Linked DNA regions of Arabidopsis thaliana. The protein of the gene in region 1 purifies or fractionates together with the protein of each later gene. This does not show direct contact. Each region holds a gene or a part of one and is shown on either strand. Other genes may lie near its edges.

What was found. The genes of interacting proteins can lie anywhere in the genome.
Region 2: the proteins of SAMBA (region 1) and FTM1 purify together in Arabidopsis thaliana (affinity purification with mass spectrometry, with the first as the bait; one large-scale study listed by BioGRID). This does not show direct contact.

The regions. Positions count from the first base shown.
Region 1 is NC_003070.9:11,651,605-11,655,388, reverse strand, and holds SAMBA (valine-tRNA ligase), read right to left. Parts: upstream 1,890-3,784; 5' UTR 1,771-1,889; coding exon 1,620-1,770; intron 1,260-1,619; coding exon 1,149-1,259; intron 892-1,148; coding exon 851-891; 3' UTR 556-850; downstream 1-555. Other genes in the region: MKK10 (MAP kinase kinase 10), read right to left, coding at 1-233; GulLO1 (D-arabinono-1,4-lactone oxidase family protein), read right to left, coding at 2,024-2,790, 2,894-2,995, 3,129-3,784. UniProt on the Arabidopsis thaliana protein: Plays an important role in organ size control. Acts as negative regulator of the anaphase-promoting complex/cyclosome (APC/C). Regulates cell proliferation during early development by targeting CYCA2-3 for APC/C-mediated degradation.
Region 2 is NC_003070.9:16,575,633-16,580,253, forward strand, and holds FTM1 (Plant stearoyl-acyl-carrier-protein desaturase family protein), read left to right. Parts: upstream 1-1,888; 5' UTR 1,889-2,029; coding exon 2,030-2,341; intron 2,342-2,523; coding exon 2,524-2,817; intron 2,818-3,347; coding exon 3,348-3,917; 3' UTR 3,918-4,090; downstream 4,091-4,621. Other genes in the region: TED6 (tracheary element differentiation-related 6), read left to right, coding at 320-670. UniProt on the Arabidopsis thaliana protein: Converts stearoyl-ACP to oleoyl-ACP by introduction of a cis double bond between carbons 9 and 10 of the acyl chain.

The DNA of each region.
Region 1 (3,784 bases):
ACTTTTAAGGCGTAAAGCGTTTTGGTTCTCCGGTGACGGGTTTTGTAGACTGTCCCACCGCTTCCTTGTCCTAAAACGGAGAGTTTCTCGAGATCGTTTAAGGTTTGAATCGGCGATGTTTCAGGGCTTGACGATGAAGAAGATGCCACGGAGAAGGCGGTGCCGTGGTAAATAAGTGGTGGAATAGAGAGTGTGAGAGGTTCTTGGTGACGTCGTTCTCTAACAAGTGTCATCTAGGTTATTTGCTTGCACTTGTGGTTTTCAAGTCCTAGGTTACATAAAAAGGACATGACACGTGGCAAATGGGATTACTTGTATGACACTTGTCAATCAGTGTTAACAAACTTAAGCAATTTGTGGTTTTTAGGTAGTGGTGATCAATTGATTCCTGATAAAAATAGGTAAACAAGTTTTGGGATTTAATAATGACCTTTTGGTACTTCTTTTTCCGTACATATAGTAGAATCTTTGTTTTGGGAAGATGATAATAACCTAATTTTTTTAAAGGAACTAATAAAAAGTACCAAGTTAGACAAAAAATCAAGAAAAATATCTGGATTTTAAATTAATTATTCAAACTTAAAAATTGTCTTTGATGAAAGTTGATTATCTATATTCTTGAGAATATTGAAATTTCATTTTCGAGTAATAGACTCATTAGCCGAATAATGATTTCCTCACTTGTATATTAACACCATAGAAATACTATTTTGTCCCTTACAATGGGAAAATATAAAGTTAACGTTTTAGTGACATTTGTGAAGAACACGAAACAAAGCGTATACGACCATTTCTGATATTTCTTACTTGAATGAATCCGATCATCTAGGAAGCTGAACAAAGCTTAATTTCACCATAGCTTCACTTCACCTCCTTTCTTTAGAAAATTACCTAATCAGAAACAAATATACTTCAGTAGAGTGTCTTAGTGATGACGAAACACCGAAAACACACACACAAACCCGCAGATTCGATCAAATGTTCTCACCATACCGACTTGCCTAATCTAGAGAATGGCAAATACATGAAATTTTGAACCATTGGGATCATTACTGCTGTTAAAACTTATTCAAGATTGATATAAACGTACACATGAAAACAGCTTTGTGACATACAGAAAAATAGGATTGAAGAAGAAGAAAACTAACCTCTTCTGGATATAAGATGGATTCGAGAACGAGGACCTTCGAACATCCAACTATCTTCTTCCAAAGACTTAACCTCTTTGTCAAGTTCAGTCATCAAATCAGCTTTCAAAACTACACCATCAAAACAAAAACCAAACCTATTACATAACATATCTCAAACAAACACTTGAAACTGAAGCAAGCTTTTTCTTAATCTACTCATGTCCTTAATCATTTATTAGTAATTAATTAGCAATACTAATTATCTAAAGAAGTTACTGTTAAATCAACAAATCAATCAACCAAATAAAAAAAACTCAGGGAAACAAAATTGGGATTTTCAGATAGTATCAAAAACCCTAAATTTGGAGATGTGATACTCAAATCTCTGATCACTGAGAAATTTGATTACCGAATCTTATAGAAAACCTCTAATTTGAAACCCTAAGATTCGAAATCATGAAACGAAAAGGGAAAAGAGTAAGAACTGACCACGCATAGCTTCGTCTTTTCGCTCTTGCATTGAGGGAATATCCGGTGGAAAATGGAAATCGTCTAGACCAGCGGCGGCGCCACTGCTTCCACCTCCACCAGCTACGGCGGTCGTCGAAACCAATGAATGAGCCGGAGAAGCGCCGTTCATCACTCAGCGCGAATTCAAAATCGAAATTGTTCAGAAGAAATTTGGGATCAACGACGATACATTGACGGAGGAGCCGTAACAAATCTTAAACCGAAATTATTTTATTCGAGGACTAACCATGTAAACCGAATTGAACCAAATAAACCGGCTAAAGCCCAACAACAAAGGCCCGTGTGACCGACCATAAAACTTGTTAAGCTTGTCATAATGAACAAAAGACGTTGTTCTGTAAAATGTTCTGTTTTCACTTTTCTCATATACGATTAAACATCAAATTAAATTTGGTATGATCGTCATAGCCATTTACTGATTTTACATGAGTACAAACTCTAGCCTTTGTATAAACTTTACCTGGTCGACACAAATAACCTTTCTTGGGAGCACAATGAGCATCATCCGAACAAACACAAAGTCCTTCCAAGGCACATCCTTCTTTCACAATCGTCACGTTTCCTTTTAAACCTAGAATTTGGTTGGTCCATTCCGTCGAAAACAACCCTAAAGGATCAAATCTCTCTTTTACTTTCAAAAACGTGTTTGCGTTCTTGTACTTTCTAATCACGCCATCAAACGCTAGGTTCCTATTCTTCCCCCAATGTGGCAATGCATTGTATTTAAATATCGCCATTTGTTCGATCTCTTCGATGAAATCCTCGTAGAGACGTGGTGCTAAGGGATCATCTTTGCTTCGGTAGTAAGTTAGGTCAAAATCTAAAGCTTTTTCTTCTTTCCCAAGAAAAGCAGGAGAGGATGTCACATAACGGATGAGGATACCATTGCTGCGTTCAAGGGCGCAGAGAGATTTCGGTTCAATCTTTACGAGTGCTTTGATGTCGTTGATGAAACCTTTGACACGTGTGAGAGGGATACTGAATGCTGTTTGGTGAAAGAATTGGCCTTTTATCCGTGGATCCCAAGGACAAGACGTGATCAGTCCGTCCTGATGGCTGTCTAGACATGTACCCGACGACATCATATGGTTTTGCTTTCCGATCACCGGATAGCCTGTGAATTCCATACCTGCCCGTGGAAATTACAAATGAATATGTGATAGAAAGTTGTAAAGTCTCATACATATGGAAACAATAGAAAGATGCATAAGTAAGTGAACGAATATTTTTACCATTGTTAGTCACACCGTAGGAGATGGAAAACAAAAACGACGTTATTTGCTCTGCTCTCGCACACTTGTCGTTTGCATCTCCGGATGACTCTTCACTCTCCTCTTCATATCATGAAGCAGTTGTTTATAAGAAACATTATAACTATGCAAATCAAATATTTTTTACCAAAAAAACTATGCAAATGATCAAATATATTTTGTATTAGTTATCTTGAGAAACAAAGAATAAATTTACCTAAGGATCTAATGATGGCTAACGCTACAGAGAGTTGTGGACGGAATGGGAAAAAGTCGAACAAGCCATTGCCTGAAGTGTTGACCGGAACTCGGTCGTCCATTCGATACACCACTTTGCCTTGGCTTGGTAACCATAAGAAATCTGCAAACTCATGTTTTTCCCCGAAAGTCACGGCTTGATCTCCGAAATCCGAATCGTTTTGCATAACAAAGGTTAACGATCTCTTGAACATTGGTTGCAACTGGAAAGTTACTTGAGAGATAACACCTAGAACGCCTAGAGAAACTTTGGCTGCACGAAATTCATCAGGATCTATTGTCTCGCTAAGAACCCGAACCTTAACATACCCATCAGAAGCCAAACCGGGACTCACCATTCTTATCTCACTCACATAATCATGAACCGCACTTCCTTTACCCCACAACGAACTTCCATGAGCACCTGTCCCCATCAATCCTCCAACCGTGAGTCCCCACCAATATGGTGCGTGTGGCAAAGCCAGCTCCAATTCAGCCGCTTCTCCGATAAGCTGCCTTAACGTCACACCGCTCTCAACTGTCAAAGTCTTGGCTTCGGGATTGGTTCCCACCACGTTGTTTAAAAACTTGGTGCTTATGAGAACACCGTCCTTTCCATCAGTACAAACGAGCTTT
Region 2 (4,621 bases), 4.9 Mb from region 1:
AGAATTGTGAGAATTATGAATCTTACCTCTTACAATTCTTACATATTTTTGGATTACACCAACAAAATAAGATATTTTGAGCTGAGTGCCTGTTTTTCTTGGCTTTTACTCTTTTTTTTTTTTTTTAAACATTCTAGGTTAGCTTAACAAAAACAACAAGCAAACAAAACCTTAGGATGGGAGTTAAGTCATTACAAACTTAGCAGCAACCTATACTCTCAATACTCACTACAAATAAGCCCCATGATTCTCCATCTTCCTCAAACCATTTCCACCTCAAGAAATAAATCATCAGAGCCTCACACATCAAACACAAGTAATGGCCTCCACGGATTCAGTTTACCGTCCCACACCAACTCCAGACCATGACACTACTGTTGTAGTAGTTGTGTTTGTTTCTTTGGGTTGTGTCATGTTCTTGGCGTTTCTAGCGTTTGTTATCTGGTTCTTGATCAAGAAGAGATCCAGGAAGCACCGTGAGAGATCTGAAGCGGTTCGCGTGGATGAACACTTTAAGATGAAGGAAGCTATAGTCGAAGGACCTAATGGACAAAAGTCTGTGGTGTTATCAGTTGAGGATGATGTTAAGATCGAAGACGCGATCAAGAGAGAAGAGAAAGATCTGAAGAAAGATGGTGGAGTTGGATCATCAGTCGTTTCCCGTTCGTGAATGAGCTTTCTTCATTCATAATGTTACCTATCTATTTATTTATATTAAAATTGTGGTTGTGTGTGAATCATTTGTTTGGTGAAATAAAAAAAAAGCATCTGAAATATTTATTTAAATTCTTTGGACAAAGATGGTTCTTCAAACTTGGGTTGGTGAATGGTGATGGTTTTTATGTTCTAGGAGCGAACTTTTATCTCTATCTCTCTAAGAAAAGTAATCTTTCAAAAAAAACTGTAGAGAAATAAAATAGATAGTTGTTTTTGGTTAAAACAGATAATTTGTAACTGTAACTCGATAAGAATATTAATTAAAAAAAACATACAATGTCAAATGAAATCATACTTAAAATTGGACATTTTTCTATTTGAAAACTTGGTATTGGTATACTAACACATATACCATGTTAATCTTCTCATTATAGTTCTACTTAATATTTACCAAAACAAAACAAAAAAAACAATTATACGTATTTAATTAACAAAACAAATACATTAATTCTGAAGATGGAGAAAAAAATTGTGTCTTGATAATGCTAACTTACCAAGTCTCCATACATGATAAGAAAATTACACACACATATATATATATATATATAAATATGTCATATATAAGTTTATTTTTGAGCTAAATCTTCAAAAAGTTTCTATTGTAATTTCTAAGCTTAAACAAAAATTGATACATTCATTGTCTAATACTGTTCTGGTTGAATTCAATTTTATATTCAATTAAAATTAATATTTTCTTACCAAACATCACATTCATACATAAAATAAACATTGGAATTATCATTCTGAAACTAATACAACATTTAAATATTAGAAATCCTATAAAATAAAAATTCGTCCTTTCTTTTCTTTGTCAACCATAAGATCCAATGGCTCGTTGAATACGTAGTTACGTACAACTGGCATTCTCGTGTACAAAGTCACTAAAACAAAAACAAAATCCATTATAGATATTAAAACGACTAAATTTAATTATAGCAATAACAATTGAACAGCAAGATCACAAATTTAGAATTCAAGAGCTTAAAAAATTCATTAAAAGTAGAAAAATACAAAAATAATACATTAAAATTCAAAGTTCATATAATTGGAAGTAAAAAGAAATTTTTTTATCACTCTCAAGTTTTGTCTTAAATGGGACAAATTTAACTTTTTAAACAAAACCCACAGAATCTCAAACCAGTTAGCACCCCTTGTTTCACCCCACGGTTTGTTTAACGAACAACAGCCAACCACCAAATTACTATTATACCCTCATCACCATTTGACTATTTATTAGTCCACACTCTATAGTAGTTGTTACATTCAAAGAACTCCAAAGTAAATTAAAGTCTTCTCTACTTCACCATAAAAAATGCTTGCGCACAAGTCTCTTCTCTCCTTTACCACCCAATGGGCTACACTAATGCCATCTCCGTCTACTTTTCTCGCCTCTCGCCCCCGTGGACCGGCCAAGATCTCGGCCGTGGCAGCACCAGTGAGGCCGGCTCTAAAACACCAAAACAAAATCCACACCATGCCACCGGAGAAAATGGAGATATTCAAATCTTTAGATGGATGGGCCAAGGATCAAATCTTGCCTCTTCTCAAACCCGTTGACCAATGTTGGCAACCCGCTTCTTTCTTACCCGACCCGGCCTTACCCTTCTCCGAGTTTACCGACCAGGTACGTTATATACATCATGAATCTTGTTATTCTCTTATTTATGAAGAAGTAGAAGTTATTACAAAGTTTATAACTTTGTCATGAAATGTATAAACCAGAATACCTATACTATATAATATGCACATTAAACCAAGACTAACCAATAAATGAAAAGATGTTAAAATGTGTATTTATAATGATAGGTTCGTGAGCTGAGGGAAAGAACGGCCTCGCTGCCAGACGAATACTTCGTGGTGTTGGTTGGAGATATGATAACGGAGGACGCGTTGCCTACTTACCAGACGATGATCAACACCCTTGATGGCGTAAGGGACGAGACTGGTGCGAGTGAGAGCGCGTGGGCAAGTTGGACACGAGCGTGGACGGCTGAGGAGAACCGTCATGGTGATTTGTTGCGGACTTACTTGTACTTATCCGGTCGTGTTGATATGCTTATGGTTGAACGCACCGTTCAGCATCTCATCGGCTCGGGCATGGTCAGTTCTCTTTCTATACCTTTATGTCATGATGTAAAAATGCTTATACTAGTTTCATTAGTTTAGTAGTTTTCTGATTTATTTATTTGTTTGTGTCATTTTAATTTTTTTTTATTTGGTTTGGTTAAGTTATTTTTTTTGTTATGCATGTGTGGAAACGTAAACATAACCAAAACTATTTGCCATTTTGTTTGTTTTGATCTGGTATGATAAAATTTTAATTTGGTTTTTGGTTTGAATACATTTTGGACGATTTAAAAAGAAAAAAAAATCCACCTTTTAATAATAATAAAAATTAATAATATATTATGTAAGATATATAGAAAATAAATTCTGATTTTTTTGTTTGTTTAGTTCGCTTACAATAACATAAGCTTTGGGTTTAAATGTTTTTAAATAATAGAACGAATTGATCACAAACAATTTCAATCTAAGTATTTTAGTAGTTTACGTTTGGTTGGTCCGGATTAGGTTTGGTTGGTTCGGGTTAGGTTTATACCATTCATAACTTTTCATATTGGCAACTTCAGGATCCAGGAACTGAGAACAATCCATACTTAGGTTTCGTGTACACGTCATTCCAAGAGCGAGCCACATTTGTGTCTCACGGCAACACGGCAAGGCTAGCCAAGTCCGCAGGAGATCCTGTCCTCGCTCGCATCTGCGGAACCATTGCAGCTGACGAGAAGCGCCATGAAAACGCTTACGTACGCATCGTTGAGAAGCTCCTCGAGATCGACCCTAACGGTGCAGTCTCAGCCGTGGCCGACATGATGCGGAAGAAGATCACAATGCCGGCTCATCTAATGACAGACGGTCGAGACCCGATGCTATTCGAACATTTCTCCGCCGTGGCTCAGCGGCTAGAGGTTTACACGGCGGATGATTACGCTGACATCTTGGAGTTTTTGGTTGGACGGTGGAGATTGGAGAAGCTAGAAGGATTGACGGGTGAGGGCCAACGTGCACAGGAGTTTGTGTGTGGGTTAGCTCAGAGGATTAGACGCCTTCAAGAGCGTGCAGACGAGAGAGCTAAGAAGCTTAAGAAGACCCATGAGGTTTGCTTTAGTTGGATCTTCGATAAGCAGATTAGTGTGTAAACTCTTGAAAATATCAAACTTTTCCTTTCTCCGTTTCTTGTTTTTTTTTTTCTTTTTTGTAATGCAAATCTTTGTTCTTAGGAAAATTTAATGTTAAGTTTCTATCTATGTAACGTGTTTTTAACTTAAAATTTGTATAATTTAAACATGGCTCAAACGGATAATTTTTTTTTTTGTTAACTTAGAGTAAATCCTTGAACCTATGGACTAATTCCAGAGGAGAGGGTATCCTATGGGTAAGGTCTCCCCATGTTTTCAAATAGGCCTTAAGCAATAGGTCCATTCCCATGTGCCAAAGGGACATGGCTAAGCAATTGTGCATCTGAGGAGAATTGATACCTAGCCTAGACCAAACAAGACAACTCTTCCACCAGACTAGAACCACTAGCCCACCACCTCTGGTTAAACTGATAAATTAACTAAGTTTTTGTTGACCAATCCGGACAATCCGATTTGACCCGATCCAAACCAAAACGAAAATAATTGATTTAGAAAACTCGATCGAAAACCTATTTTTATAACAAGTCAATAATATGTTTGATTAAAATCGGAAACCCGAACCGAAACCATAACCAAAACCAAACTGAAATCTAGATGAACATCTAATATTTTGGATTTTATTGTTAATTTAGATTTGGGAATTGTTCTCTCTTATCGTTTAGATGGTAATTATGTTTACGCCATTAGCTGAGGAGATTAGTACA